Tamandua tetradactyla: one gene and its partner. Each later gene encodes a partner of the first gene's protein in a complex. Links are inferred from orthologs where the notes say so. Each region holds a gene or a part of one and is shown on either strand. Other genes may lie near its edges.

What was found.
Region 2: the proteins of SIRT3 (region 1) and ACSS1 are in contact, whole or in part, in a crystal structure (PDB 3GLT), measured with the Homo sapiens proteins. The link is inferred for Tamandua tetradactyla from reciprocal best matches to the Homo sapiens genes SIRT3 and ACSS1. Residues at the interface, in NP_036371.1 of Homo sapiens: Gly145, Ala146, Gly147, Thr150, Pro151, Asp156, Phe157, Arg158, Ser159, Glu177, Phe180, Gln228, Asn229, Ile230, His248, Ile291, Val292, Phe293, Phe294, Gly295, Glu296, Pro297, Leu298, Gly319, Thr320, Ser321, Leu322, Glu323, Val324, Glu325; in NP_115890.2 of Homo sapiens: Ser640, Gly641, Lys642, Val643, Met644, Arg645.

The regions. Positions count from the first base shown.
Region 1 is NC_135335.1:80,232-87,452, forward strand, and holds the start of SIRT3 (NAD-dependent protein deacetylase sirtuin-3, mitochondrial), read right to left. Parts: upstream 3,130-7,221; 5' UTR 3,101-3,129; coding exon 3,018-3,100; intron 1-3,017. Other genes in the region: PSMD13 (26S proteasome non-ATPase regulatory subunit 13), read left to right, coding at 3,621-3,802, 5,282-5,360.
Region 2 is NC_135327.1:35,089,945-35,097,267, forward strand, and holds the start of ACSS1 (acetyl-coenzyme A synthetase 2-like, mitochondrial), read left to right. Parts: upstream 1-4,249; 5' UTR 4,250-4,270; coding exon 4,271-4,559; intron 4,560-7,323. UniProt on the Homo sapiens protein: Catalyzes the synthesis of acetyl-CoA from short-chain fatty acids. Acetate is the preferred substrate. Can also utilize propionate with a much lower affinity. Provides acetyl-CoA that is utilized mainly for oxidation under ketogenic conditions.

The DNA of each region.
Region 1 (7,221 bases):
TTAGAAAATGCCTATAAGAAAACAGGGGCCTAGACTGTAAGCTTTTATAGCAGACACTTTAAATCTGGAGGGGCGATTATTAGTTCTGGATTTCGAGAGGCTGTTTATTCTTTTTTAATCATTGTAAAGCCACTATTTGCACAGTTAAGTTTTATAAACCAATTTGAAATTAAAGCAACAAGGAAAAAAGATCTACATATGTGGATAGCAAAGTTCTTTAAGTATTAAAAAACTAACTTAAATACCTTAAACCCATTTTTTTTAGTTTTGTTTCTACATTACACTCTTTATTTTTAACTTTTTTTTTAATTGTATGGTATAACATATATACTAAGAAAAGAAAGAAAAAGCAATCGTTTTCAAAGCACTCTTCAACACATAGTGACTGGGCAGATCCCAGAGTTTCTCATGGCCTATACGATAATCTCAGAGACCCTCCCATGACACCTCAGCGTCTACACTGAGACCCTCTCCATGACACCTCAGCGTCTACACTGAGACCCTCCCATGACACCTCAGCGTCTACACTGAGACCCTCCCATGACACCTCAGTGTCTACACTGAGACCCTCCCATGACACCTCAGCGTCTACACTGAGACCCTCCCATGACACCTCAGCGTCTACACTGAGACCTTCCCATGACACCTCAGCGTCTACACTGAGACCCTCTCCATGACACCTCCATATCTGCAGGGGCCCTCCCATGACACCTCAGCGTCTACACTGAGACCCTCCCATGACACCTCAGCGTCTACACTGAGACCCTCCCATGACACCTCAGCGTCTACACTGAGACCCTCCCATGACACCTCAGCGTCTACACTGAGACCCTCCCATGACACCTCAGTGTCTACACTGAGACCCTCTCCATGACACCTCCATATCTGCAGGGGCCCTCCCATGACACCTCAGCGTCTACACTGAGACCCTCCCATGACACCTCCATGTCTGCGTGACACCTCAGTGTCCGCACAGACCCTCCCCATGACTCTTTAGTGTCTATACAGACCCTCTCCAAGAGAACTCATTGTCTGCACAAACACTCTCATTGACATATCAGGTTATGAAAGACCCTCTCCATGACACCTCAGTGAGTCTATAGATGCTCTCCATGACACTTCAGTATCTAGAGACCCTCCCCACGACACCTCAGTGCCTGCAGAGCGACTCCGACATCTCATGTTCTGCACAGAGGCCGTCCCCACGACAGCTCTAAATGTAGACTCTTCCTCCCAACATCACTGACAGCCTGTACTGAGATCCCTCCACCCTGAAGGAAAGATTCTGAAAGTCCTCTTGACAGCCCTCTCAAAGTACACGATGACTCGAATGTAAATATAAACATAAAAACAAGAAACTCTTAAGTATTTATTCATCATGCTAGAAATAAATGTTTATTATTTCTCATACTCACCAGAAATAAACATCCTAAAACCATAATATTTTTAAGCTGCGTGTCAGGACAATTCATAATCTATCTTGCAGCTGGCATGGTCATAACTCACTTTTCTGTGTGCTTTTTCTTTTGTGTGTTTTTCTTTGCTTCTTTCAAAGCCAACACTCTTCACCAGACCAGTCCCTTGCTGCTGTGATTTTTCCTAACCCTCAGCTCGCATCCGTGATCGTCGTTTCCACTCCCCCAGAGAACCTACTGTCTTCATACAACACACACACAACCTTTGTGATCCGCCCCAGCGACCCTGACCTCCCACCACTTCCCTATCTCAGTCCAACAGAAGACTCCCTGTTTCACAGCTCTGCCCTAACCCGTAGGGCCTCGAACCCTTTTCTGCTTTGCGCCGCGCCTCCACCGCGGGCGAGCCCAGGGCAGGCCCAGCGGCCGCTCCTCGGGACCTCGCCTGGGCGCCTGCACCTCTCCCCGCCCTTCGCGCAGCTGCCCTGCCCGGGGACCCTGACTTCAGGCCACCTGGTCGCCGGCCACAGACAAGCGAGCTGTCCCTGCTCCGCCTCTCCGTGCTCGCTTCTCTCCGCAAAGCAAGTACACTCCGTGTGCTGCGAATCGGACTGGGGGCAGGAAGCCGAGGGTCCCTGAGAGGGGGAACACGGGTGCGGGCTGGGGGAGACCTCACAGAGGGAAACAAAGGGTAACCCCAAAGAGCCCCGAGCCCAAAAGCCGAGGGGCAGAAACTCCAGGGTGCAGCGAGCGCGCACCACGGCCCGGTGCTCGGCCCGCCCTCCGCCCCCTTCGCTTCGTGCCGGCCGGGCGGCCTCCTGCCCGGTACCTGACCGCTCAGGCGCGTCCCGGCCACACAGCCGGCGCAGGTCAGCTCGAACGGTGCAAGAAGCTCCGCGGAAACGAGCGTTACCTGTCCCGTACCCTGCCCTGACCGGCACCGGGAAGCGCCTGCCAGAGCGAGAGCTCAAGATCCCTTTATTACAGCCTCGCCACCGGCGCTCCAGCCGCTGCGTAAAACGGCGTCAAGCAACGTTCCGTTGTTTACTTAAACAGTTGTGCATTATTGGGCATTTAGGTTTCTTTCCATTTTTATCGCTATAAATAATTCTATGATGAGCGACTTTGGGCCTCAAGACTCTTCCATTGGTAGGCCCGGCTCCTAGATGAGGACCCCCAAGAGCACAATTACCGCGTGCACGTGGATGAGCACTTGCTGCTGCGTGGGAGACACAAAAGTGTTAAATGACCCAGCAGTCCCACCGCTAGGAACTGATCCAAAAAGTAAGGGGCGAGTAAGGGGAGTCCCCAGAATGGCGTGCGCAGCGACCGACGCGCACCACCTCCAAGGAACGCTTGAGTACACCACGGAGCAGCCACTGGGACCCTAAACCAGGTAAAGGGATGGACTACACAGAAATAACGCCAAGCCACATGAAACTTAAAAGGAAGGGCGGACGGAATCTCCACGTGACCACAACGCCGTGACCCCGCGCCCCGCCGGGCCGAGAGCAGGCATTTTAAGGCAGGGCGAATTTCCAAGGCCCCCGAGCGTGGAACTGGCTTCCAACCCGCACGTCCCGAGGCGGCTCCCGGACTAACCGAGGCAGGCGGCCCCGAGGCCAGCGGGAGCCGAGAAGCCCCCTCCCTAGGGCGGAACCTGCGCGACGGCTCCACAGCGCCATCTTCCTCCGCAGCCGGCGGCGTCCCCGACCGCCCCGCCCCGCCCCACCGCGCCGCGCTGCGCGCCCCGCCCCGCCCCCTGCGTGCTCGGTCATGCCCCCTTACGCCCTTGGCCCCGCCCTTGCGTGCTCGGGCACACGCCAGAGCGCGTGTCCTGCGGCCTTGACGTCGCCCGCTTGTGCCCACCCAGGTCGCACCCAGGGGAGGAAGGGTTCCGGTCGGTTGAATTACCGGACAAACATGGTGCCTGCATTTCTTTACCCGATACGCCAACCGTTTCCACCTAGGATGGTGATGACGACACTAACAAGTGTGCGCAGTGTGTCAGGCTTTACATTGACATTAAATCCAAGCAAGAACCCTACTAGGAAGGCCACTGATCCTTATTGGAGATGAGAAACGGTCGGTTCAGCTTTGAGCCTGAGTACCAGGGCCGAAGCGTCGGGTTACCTTGACAACCAGCAGTCGCCCGAGGCTGACCTACAGTGCTCCCGGCATGCTCCTCGCGGCGCGGCGCCGGAAATGAGCGAGCACTTCCGGCGGCCGTCTCCGCGGCGCTCACATCTTGTTGGGTTCGGTTGTGCAGCTGTCCCGGACTCTTCTGTCGTCATGAAGGACGTACCAGGCTTCCTACAGCAGAGCCAGAGCTCCGGGCCCGGCCAGGCCGCCGTGTGGCACCGTCTGGAGGAGCTGTACACGAAGAAGTGAGCGTTGAACCGAGGGGACCCGGGCGCCCGGGAATGAAGAGCGGCGGCCTGGCCGGTCATGGGGTGGAGTTGGGGGGAGGTCCGGCTCTTGATGGATGAAGGGTGCTCAGAGCGATGAGGGGAGAGGTCCGGAGGAGGCGGAGGAGGGTGGGGACGCTCTGGACTGCAGAGCGTCTGAGGACCCTCAAGGGGGCTGGACCCAAGGGAAGACGGGGGACAGCACACGAGGGCTGAGGACCAGGGCGGTTGCCAGGGTTTTGGGGTCTGGGATTCACTGAGAAGCTGTGATTGAAGCTTGTGGGCCCCCTTTCTTTCTCCCCTTACAGAAGGGATTCTGAACTGGCTTGTGATTTTAGTTCTTGAGCCCAGTCAAACAAGCCTTTCGGAGTCAGGCTGCCACCTCTTTTGAGTAACAAATCCTGGTGACTTGTTTTAGTATGACCGTATCTACAGTTATCTTTTTCACAACCTGGAGAATATAAACCAGAGGCCAGTGCGGTTGTGTTCTTTTCCCTGTTGATTCTGCAACTGGTTATATATGCATTTCCCATTGGGCTTTGTGTCCCTAGGAACAGGATGAATTTCAGAACAATTAAATTTTCTGTGGCTAAGCGCCAACCTCTTTTAGAATAAATAGGACACAGAATACATTGCCACCATCGAGTTAGAGATGTTCCATAGAAAAGTACCCCTTCTGTGATAACCTCCCAGGTAACAGTCATAGCCTTTAGAATAGTGCCTTTCAGATGGGTGCTGGTTACATGTTTTGATGATATTGTCAGTCTTCTACTATTAGGAGTTTTTTGAAAGAAAGTATTGGTGTTTGGTTAATGATTGCCTGTATTGGGTGGCATTTTGTATTTTTAAATTATGTATACAATGTTAATATTAGTCTTCAGTTTCTGGAAGACTGGGCACTATGCACTGTTCTAGGCATTCTGTGTTTTAGCTCATTTAATCCTTTACTCAGCTCCATTCACAGATAAGGAAACTGAAGTTTTGTTTAAGTACCTACCTTGAGATACAATTAATAAATAGATGAGGGTGGGCCACGGTGGCTCAGCAGGTAAGAGTGCTTGCCTGCCATGCCTGAGGACCTGGGTTCGATTCCCGGTGCCTGCCCATGTAAAAGAAAAAAAATAAAAAATAAATAAATAAATAGATGAGCCGGGATTTTCAGCTTAGATCTGTATGATTCCAAAGTCCTTTTTTCTAACTGAACCTCACAGTAACCCTTGAGGTAGCCTAGAAAAGTGTCCACTTTATAGCTGGGAAAACTGAGTCTTAGAGAGGTTAAGTGATTAAGCTTTAGTAGCAGAGCCAGAAAAAGAACTCAGGTTGATTAGCATTTGCTTTAGTATTCTTTTTTTCTATACAGTATTGACTGCTTAGTATTTATTTGATAGGACGAAGAAGGCAGAAGGTGTCTGAGACGCAATATTAATTTATACTTCTTGAGGGCCTTGTGTTTTTCAGGTTGTGGCATCAGCTGACACTTCAGGTGCTTGATTTTGTGCAGGACCCATGTTTTGCCCAAGGAGATGGTCTTATTAAGGTAAATAATTTACCATCTTAGATCAAACCATATAAATGCACTCAAGCACTTTTTAAAATAAATAAATAAAATAATAGCTGAACTTTTTAATGATAGTGACACTCATTTCAGCAATAACTTTATAGAAGGCTTTGTTCTGAGTACTTTACATATTTATTCATTTAATCTTCATAACATTGGGAGGTGAGTACTACTATTATCTCCTTTTAGAAGTAGAAACAGACACCAAGAGATTAAGTAACTTGTCCGTAAGTCACATCTAATAAATGGCAGAAGGGGATTCAAACAGACATTCTGCTTTTATTTATCTGAAATTGCAGCCTAAAAATATTGTCTCATAGCATGCTCTTGTATTCTACTGCTTATAGTCATATTTTGGAGTACTGTCACCCATCAGGGCTATAGAAGGTAGAGTACCTTTGTGCTTACCTTGTGGGTGAAGGGAGTGCTGTGTGCTGCCATGCTGGCTCTTTTAAAATTTTGTCAACAGAAAAAATAAGTTGAATTTCCCAGCATTAATAGTTATTGAACTATTCGTATTAATTGGTACTTCTCTTCTGGAGTTTGGGGTAAACTGTTTTGCTTTTTAATTTGACAGAAAAAAACATCAATTTCTAGCTATTTTGGTTATGTCTGTGTTTGGAGGCAGGAACGTGGACTTGAGCAGACACTTCATTATTCCTTTTTTTTTAAACTTTTTTTTATTAATTAAAAAAAATTAACAAAAACATTAAGATATCCTTCCATTCTACATATACAATCAGTAATTCTTAATATCATCATATAGTTGCATATTCATCATTTCTTAGAACATTTGCATCGATTTAGAAAAAGAAATAAAAAGACAACAGAAAAAGAAATAAAATGATAATAGAGAAAAAAAAAGATTATACATACCATATCCCTTACCCCTCACTTTCATTTACCACTAGCATTTCAAACTAAGTTTATTTTAACATTTGTTCCCCCTATTATTTATTTTTATTCCATATGTTCTACTCTTCTGTTGATATAGTAGCTAAAAGGAGCATCAGACACAAGGTTTTCACAATCAGAGTCTCATTGTGAAAGCTATATCATTGTTCAGTCATCATCAAGAAACATGGCTACTGGAACACAGCTCTACATTTTCAGGCAGTTCCCTCCAGCCTCTCCACTACATCTTGAACAACAAGGTGATACCTACTTAATGCATAAGAATAACCTCCAGGATAACCTCTTGACTCTTTGGAATCTCTCAGCCATTGACACTTAGTCTCATTTCACTCTTCCCCCTTTGGTCGAGAAGGTTCTCTCACTCCCTTGATGTTAATTACTTCATTATTCCTTAAGCGCTGATTCAGTAAACCAGCTGTTGAAAGTTAACCGAGATGGTTTCCTTGGTTCCAAACTAGCATATCAATCTGTGTTACCTTCCATACCTTAGAATGTGGGAAATGCCTCCATCTCAAATCAGACCAGAGGACATTCCACCAGCCTTTGTCTTTAGAGCTGTTAGAGCCTCTGGGTCCTGTCCTCAAGGTAGTGAGCCTTGTGAGTGACACGATTTCTCTGGGCCTCAGTTTCCCAGGTTGCTGCATTACTGTAGATACAAGCTCAGATGTCAGATGTAGAGTGCTTAGTGCAGCACCCGGTGGGTTAGATGACCCTGTGCACCTCTTAGCTCCCCTTTGTTTCCTTCCCGTTCTTGTCCGCTTCGGCAACTCCCTGTAGTTTGGCCAGCTCTTGTTTTGTTCTGTTTGTTTTTTAAAGATGCTGTGGTTTTCCTGGTCAGTTAGTTCTTCCTTTCTCTCTGTTTCCACAGTTCTGCAGTTCTCATATGTCTCTCTGAGCCCTTATTCAGGTATCTGCCAGAAACGTT
Region 2 (7,323 bases), on another chromosome or scaffold:
AGCACCTCTCCAACTTGAATGTATGTTGAAATGCAGGTTTTGATTCATTTGGTTTGAGATAGGGCCTGAGAGTCTGCATTTCTAAGGTATACCCAGGTGATGGCAATGCTACCAGCCCATGGACCATACCTGGGAAGGTGAGGGTGGGTTGAGGATGGAGCCTTGGGGTCCAGAGTAAGAGCAAGGTGTGGCTTTCACTCAGAATCATGAAGGCTTTGGATTCTCCTCACTTGAAGAGTAACTTGATCTGGCCTGTTTTAAAGGAACTGTACAGCCTGCTGTGGGGCTAGACTGTATAACAGTGTAAGCCATTAAAACCTATTTCAAGGCCTCAAATAGCCAAAACAATCTTGAAAAGGATGACCAAAGATGGAAGACTCACCCTTCCTGCTCTCAAAACTTAATACAAAGCTGCAGCAGTTAAAACAGTGTGGTCCTGGCATAAAGATAGGCATATAGATCAATGGAATAGAATTGACTGTCCAGAAATAAACCCACACAGCTGTTGATTGTTGACAAGGGCTCCAAGTCCATTTAATGGGAAAGTAAATGCCTCTTCAACAAATGATGCTGGGACAACTGGAAATCCATCTGCAAAAGGTGAATCTGGACCCTTTCCTCTCATCATATACAAAACAAGTTAACTAAAAATGGAGCAAGGATATGAATGTAAGAGGTCAAATGATAAAACTTTACAAGAAAACACAGGGAAATATTTGCAGGCAATGGAGTCTCAGATTTTATACCAAAAGCATGAACAACAAAAGAAAAAATAGATAAACTGGACTTCATTAAAAAAAAATGTGCATCAAAGGACATTATCAAGAAAGGGCAAAGACAACCTATAGAATGGGAAAAAACATCTGGAAATGATATATCAATCTGCTAAGGATTTAATATCCAGGATATAGAAAGAACGGCTACAACACAACAGAGAAAGGACAGAACCCATTTGAAAAAATGGGCAAAGGATCTGAACAGACATTTCCTCGAACAAGTTATACAAATGGGCAATAGGCACATTAAAAGATACTCAATATCATTAGCATGATTACTTTACATCATTAGTTAAAGAAATGCAAATCAAAACACAGAGAGATACCACTTAATGCCCACTAGCCTGGATATTATTTAAAACACACCCACACCCACACAGAAAATAACGTATTGATGAGGATGTGGAGAAATAGGAACCTTCATATACTGTAAAATGGTTTCAGGCCCTCTGGAAAACAATTTGGAGGTTCCTCAGAAGGTTAAACATAGAATTACCTGGCAGACTCTGAGATTCCCCTTTTAGGTATCTATGTTACTAATGATAGCGGCGACTCAAACAGATTCTTTGTGCACCATTGTTCATAGAGGCATTATTCACAATAGCCAGAAGGCAGCCACCCAAGCGTACAGGTAAAAAAAATGTTACCTGTACACACAATGGAATGTCATTCAACCAAAAAAGAATGAAGTTCTGATGCATGCTATAACATGGAGGAAACCTGAAGACATTATGTTGAGTGACATAAACCAGACACAAAAGGACAAATATTGTTTTATATCTCTTACATAAAATACTTAGAATAAGCACATTTACAGAGACAGAAGGCAAAATAGTGGTTACTAGGGGTGGGGAGAGGGAGAATGGGAAGTTATTGCTTAATGAGTATGAGTTTCTGCTTGGGATGATGAAAATGTTCTGGAAATAATAGTGAAAGTTACACAATAGTGTCAATGTACTCAATGTCACAGAATTGCTCATTTAAAAATGGTTAAAATAATTTTTATGTTATGAATATTTCACCACAATGAAAAAAATAATAAAAATAGCCTATTGCAATAATCCAAAAAAGAGATGGGTGTGGTTTGGACTGGGGGAAGCGTGAGGGGTGATGGTGGGAGAAGAGTCCTGGTGCTTCAGGGATCTTGAAGGCAGGAACCAGGCTTTGCTGGTGGACGGCACATGGAAGGTGAAAGGTAGGAACCTAGGGATGACAAGGATTTAGGCTTGAAACAGAAGAAAATATAATGTCCACTCCCTGAACTGGGGAGGGCTGAGGGAGGATCAGTGTTTGAGGGAAGAATCCATGAGATATGATGCATTTAAGATGGTAATTAGACAGGACTCAAATTTGGAGAAAAGATCAAAAGGAAGAGGGAGAAGTTTGAGGGCTGAGCGCTGGGACACTCATACTTTGAGGGCAAGGAGATGAGGAGTTATCTGTAAAGAGGATTGAAAAACAGTGGCCACTGGGTAAGAGGAGAACCAGGCATTCCTTGTTGTAGTTGTATCGGTTATCTACTGCTGCATAACAAACCACCTCAAAACTTAGCTGCTTAAATCAGCAACTCTTTAGTAGTTCTCACAATTCTCTGGGTTGACTGGGTGATTCTTCCATTCAGTATGGTGCTGCCTGGGGTCCCCAGGTGGCTGCCTGGTTGGGGGCTAGAGCATCCGAGATGGCGTGCTTATATGTCTAAGCTTATATGGGTGGTTCTGACTGTCTGTTGGGGTGGCTCGGTTCTCTTCCAGGTGGTCCCTTTTCCTTCAAAAGACCAAACTAGCTTCCTTACTGCATTGCAGCAGGACTTGAAGAGAGTGAAGCTGAAGTTGTTGGGTCTCTCAAGGCCTGCTGTTGGAGCTGTCACATCCTAGTGGTCAGAACAGTAAGGCCAGGTCAGGTCCAAGGGAGGGGAGACAGACCCTAATTCCTGATGCATCAACCTTCCATCAAGTATACAGGAGGGGGTGAATTGCTGGTTGCCATTTCATTTTCAGAGACTAGCCATCACAGATATGACTGCTCTCTATTTACAATTTATATACTCTACTAAAATGAGAATTTAGGCCAGCAGTGCAGTAGACATTGAAATAAAAACTGGAGGGTGCTGGGTGCCACTCTTGGTCTTCCATGAGCCAACCACATGACTTTCAGCACCTCCTTTCACTTGCTTGGGCCTCAGTTTCCTCATTTGTTCCAAACAGGTTTTTCAACACAAAGCCAAAAAAAAAAAAAAAAAAAAAAAAAGCAAATGAGCACTTGGCACAGGTGCAGGGCACAGCCAAGTGCTCAGGAAAACTCTCATCACTTTCTCCAGTCTTCAAAGTAGTCTTCCACCAGAGGCAGGCGTTCTATGTGCAGGGGCTGGGGAAGCTCTGGGGAAAAGCATCTCACTCTGCAGATTTCACAAATAGCAGGAAGGAATCTTTCCCAATTCAAAGAACTCAACAAATCTCTTTTCCAAAATGCGCTTTCCTCTGTGTTTGTCTTCTTTGTTATGGTTAACTTCTTGGGTGTTGAAATATTTAAGAATCTGGCAGAGGGAAGTTTTTACAGAGTCTCCTTCTGTCTTTTCTGGCTGGATAACAAGAACCCCACCACCTGCGTGGATTGAGCATCCAGGTGCCAGTTCTGGACTAGGCGTTTCATGGAGCTTATCTCATTTATTCCCCACCGCAACATGACCAGGGAGGTATCATTCCTGTGTTGCAGGAAAGCAGACTGAGGCACAGAGAGGGTAAAGAACTTGCCCAAAGTCACAGAGTTGGTAAACAGTGGGGCCAGGGTTTAACCCCAGGCCAGAGATGTTGGAGGAACCAGAGAAAATTCCCATAACCCAAGTCAGTGGAAGTCTGCAGGTCTGTGTGCTTCTCTGGGGAAGGGATACCTCCCGCCAAGGGCATGGGGTGGGAGCCAGATAACGGACCTATGCCTTCACTGAATCTGGGTCTAAGGGTCCTTGGTCAGCCCATTTAGCCCAAGGGGGACGCGTCTGTGTGTGTGTGTGTGTGTGTGTGTTTGCGCGCGCGCGCGCGCGTAGAGTACAGGCAGGCCTGGTGGAACGAGGGGTTCACTCATGGGTGCGGAAAAACAGATTGACCCTTCGACCCATCTATCACTTGACTGGGCAGATCCCATCGGGTTCCCGCGGCGCCCGGCCTCTGCGTCCCCTGGGCGCACAGCCTGGGTTGATCTCGGCTTGGTGCAGCTGCCGGAGTTCTAGAAAGCTCCCAAATCGAAACCAAAACCCGCGGCGCCGGTCTGGGCTCTGACAACAGACCCCGGTCCTGTCCTACCCGCCAGACACCCCGGGTGCCAACATCCACCCTGCGCCCCCTCCCCTTTCTGGATCAGGGCAGTCTCCAGGAGGCGACTTCCGAACGGGAAGGGGCCCCCAGGAGTGGGCCGTGCCGGGGGCGGGGACAGGGGCGGGCCCGCGGGACACCCAAGAGCTCACCCTTCCGCCGATCCTCTGCAGCTGACTACCCGGAGGGATGGCAGCGCTCAGCCTTGGCCGCGGCGTCTCTCGGCTCCTGGGCTGTCTGCACCGGGCGAGTGCGCCGTGGCGGGCGGTCTCGGGGCGCATACGCGGCGCCCCCGACGCAGCGCAGCCCGGCTCCTACCTGGCGCTGAGCGCGCAGGCGGCCCGGGAGCCGGCCGCCTTCTGGGGGCCGCTGGCAAGGGAAACGCTTGTGTGGGACACCCCCTACCACACCGTCTGGGACTGCGACTTCAGCAGCGGCAAGATCGGCTGGTTCCTGGGAGGCCAGTTAAACGTCTCGGGTGAGTGGGCTGTGCGGGATCCCGGGCGCCCGGTGGCAGCAGCGGCCCCCGGGCCGAGCGGGTGTCACCCGGCGACGGGGCCACCCCGCGTGAGCGCCCTTCCGTTGTTCTGTCCGCCGACTCGAAACAGTGATGCCACCCGCTCCATACGCCCACCGGCCCCGGATCTCATCCCGGCCAGAGGCTCCAGTCCCCCGGTGCCGAGTCCACACCCGCAGAGACTCGGCGTCCCCCTGGACTCGGCTTCTCTGTCTGCCCTCTCCCAAGTTGAATTCTTGGGTTTCACCGCGCCAGGAGGACAAGCCTGCGAGGTGCAGCGGCTCACTCCTGGGTCACAGGGGGCTGGGATGGAGGGTGCGGGGCGCCCTGGAGTACGGGTTATCCAGCTCGAGTCCCTGGGGCCCGAGGCGAAAACGAAAGGCTTCCGGCGGTTGTCACTGTCAGCTGCTTCGCAATCGGGCGGAGTCGCTGCCTGGGAACTATGTCCACGTAAACAAACCGGCTCGTGGAGGGTGGCCCGGAACGGGACAAAGCCCGGCCCAGCCTCTGGAGTCAGTTACTTCCTTGCTCCCGGCCTATGGGCGGGAAGAAAGGGGCAGCGGGGCCTCCCTCTTGCCGGCAGCAGTTGCGCCCCAAAGCCCCAGCGCCTGCCTTAGACCCGGCCTCGAAAGAGACTGAATCCACCGCTGATTTGTTAAGATTTGGGGTTTACAAGGACTGACACGTATCCCCACCCCAATAAACGGGGCTAATTTGGCAGCAAGGCGAGGGCGCCCAGGAACTGGGGACAGTGGCCAGTTGCCTGGAGCAAGGCTTGGGTGTCTGGCCTCTGGAGGAGGGGACTGCAGCCAGGTAGTAGGAGGGGGTTGTGCTGCCCCGAGGCTGGGGACCAGGGTCAGGTGGGGGTGCTGTGGGTTAAGAAAAGGACTGGCATGTTTTCATGGCATAGTCATGCTCTGACCTAGACCTGTCCTAGTTATTCTACTCCTCTTAACCCCTCTTTGTGAAATGGGGGCAATAATGTCCACCTCTTAGCATAGTTCCTAGCACTTATTGGTGATCAATAAGTGATCAATTTTAATATATTATATTCAGAGGTGGCCATAAAATTATGGGGAGTGTCTTGCAGTTATTTTTCTAATGAAGAAATTTAAGGAAACTTTGGGCCAGTTTTTTTTTTTCTTCATCCTGTGTCTTACTTGGCTGGTTTAATCAGAATTGGTCTCTTACTAGATAAGTGTGTTTTCTCTGAAATTGAGTCAGCAGCAGTATCTCTGAAAATTGCTTAGGTTGGCAGAGCTGGGAGAGCGTGCCCTTGAGGGAGGAGAGCTGCTGGTGAAGGATGGGGAAGGAGTGGGCAGTTCCTTGGAGGTTGCTGTGGCGACTTCTTGCTCTCAAATAAAATGTACTGGACCTCTGGGCCCTGCTCTGTTCAGGATCACGGTGTTGTCCACAAGTGATTCTGCCTTCCTATTTCCACCATTTATTTCCTCCAAAGAAGAGGTGGTTACCTTACCCAGAAATTGAGCCTCAGAAAACTGACTTGTAGGATAAAACCCAGCTTTTCAGCGCCATTCTCACCTCGAAAGTGTGTGCTAAACACCCACCTGGCCAGGAATAACCCCTGCCTTTTGCCAGAGGTGACAGATGAAAAAGGACCAGTCCAGTCCATGACTGCCCTGGAGGACACCTGGAAAGGTGGGACAGATGTGAACTCTTTGGCCTGATGTGCTTGTCCTGTGGGATAAAGTCAGCCTGATGGGGGCTTGTCCAGGGGGTGTCACATTAAAAAAAAAACTTTTTATTTTGAAATAACTTCAGACTTACAGGAAAGTTGCAAAAAGTGATGCAAAAACTATACAGAGAACTCCAACATACTCTCTGCCTAGTCACCGGATTTCTCAACTATTAGCATTTTGCCACATTTGTTAATCATTGTCTATCACCTGTCTTCTAAACCTTTAAGAGAGCAAACACGCTCACTTATGTAATCACCTTAATTACAGCTATCAAAATCCACAAATTAAACATTGATGTAAAGCTGACAGTCTATTCCAGCTTTTCACTTGCCCCAATGATGTTCTTTTGGGCATTTTCTCCTCTATTATTAGTTTCAGCTCAGGTTCATGGATTGCACCTAATTGTCATTATCTTTTTAATCTTGTTTTTAAATTGTGCCAACAAACATGTGCTAACAAATATAACATAAATTTCCCATCTCAGCCATCTGCAAGGGCATCAATTCTTTTTTTTTCTCAAGCAAAACTATATATTTTTTGAGCATCTCACAATTAACAACATATTCCTCATTGAGTCTTACTCTTTTTTCCTCTCTTTGACCTCAGATATATAGAGAAATTGGCAAAAGATAAATAGTATTCCTGGTTCATAGGTACTGGATAAAAGGCCCCCAGTAATCAGAGTCCTTATTCTTAGGTAGGGAATTACAAAAACTTTATTCATGTGATTGCCTAATAATAATCACTCACTCTTTCAATAAATATTTACTATGTGTCTGATATGAGCCAGGCAACCTGATAAGCCCTGAGAACACAGCAGTGAACAAAGCAAGAAAAATTTCACAGGGCGTCACTTCTGAAACTTCCATTACCCCTTCAGGAATACCAGGGGTTCTCAAACTGTGTTCCTCCACCAGCATCATCTGGGAACTAATTAGCAATGTAAATTCTCAAATCCACCCTATACTCCTGGAATCAAAAACTCTGGGGACAGGGCCCTGCATCTGTTTTAGCAAGCCCTCCAG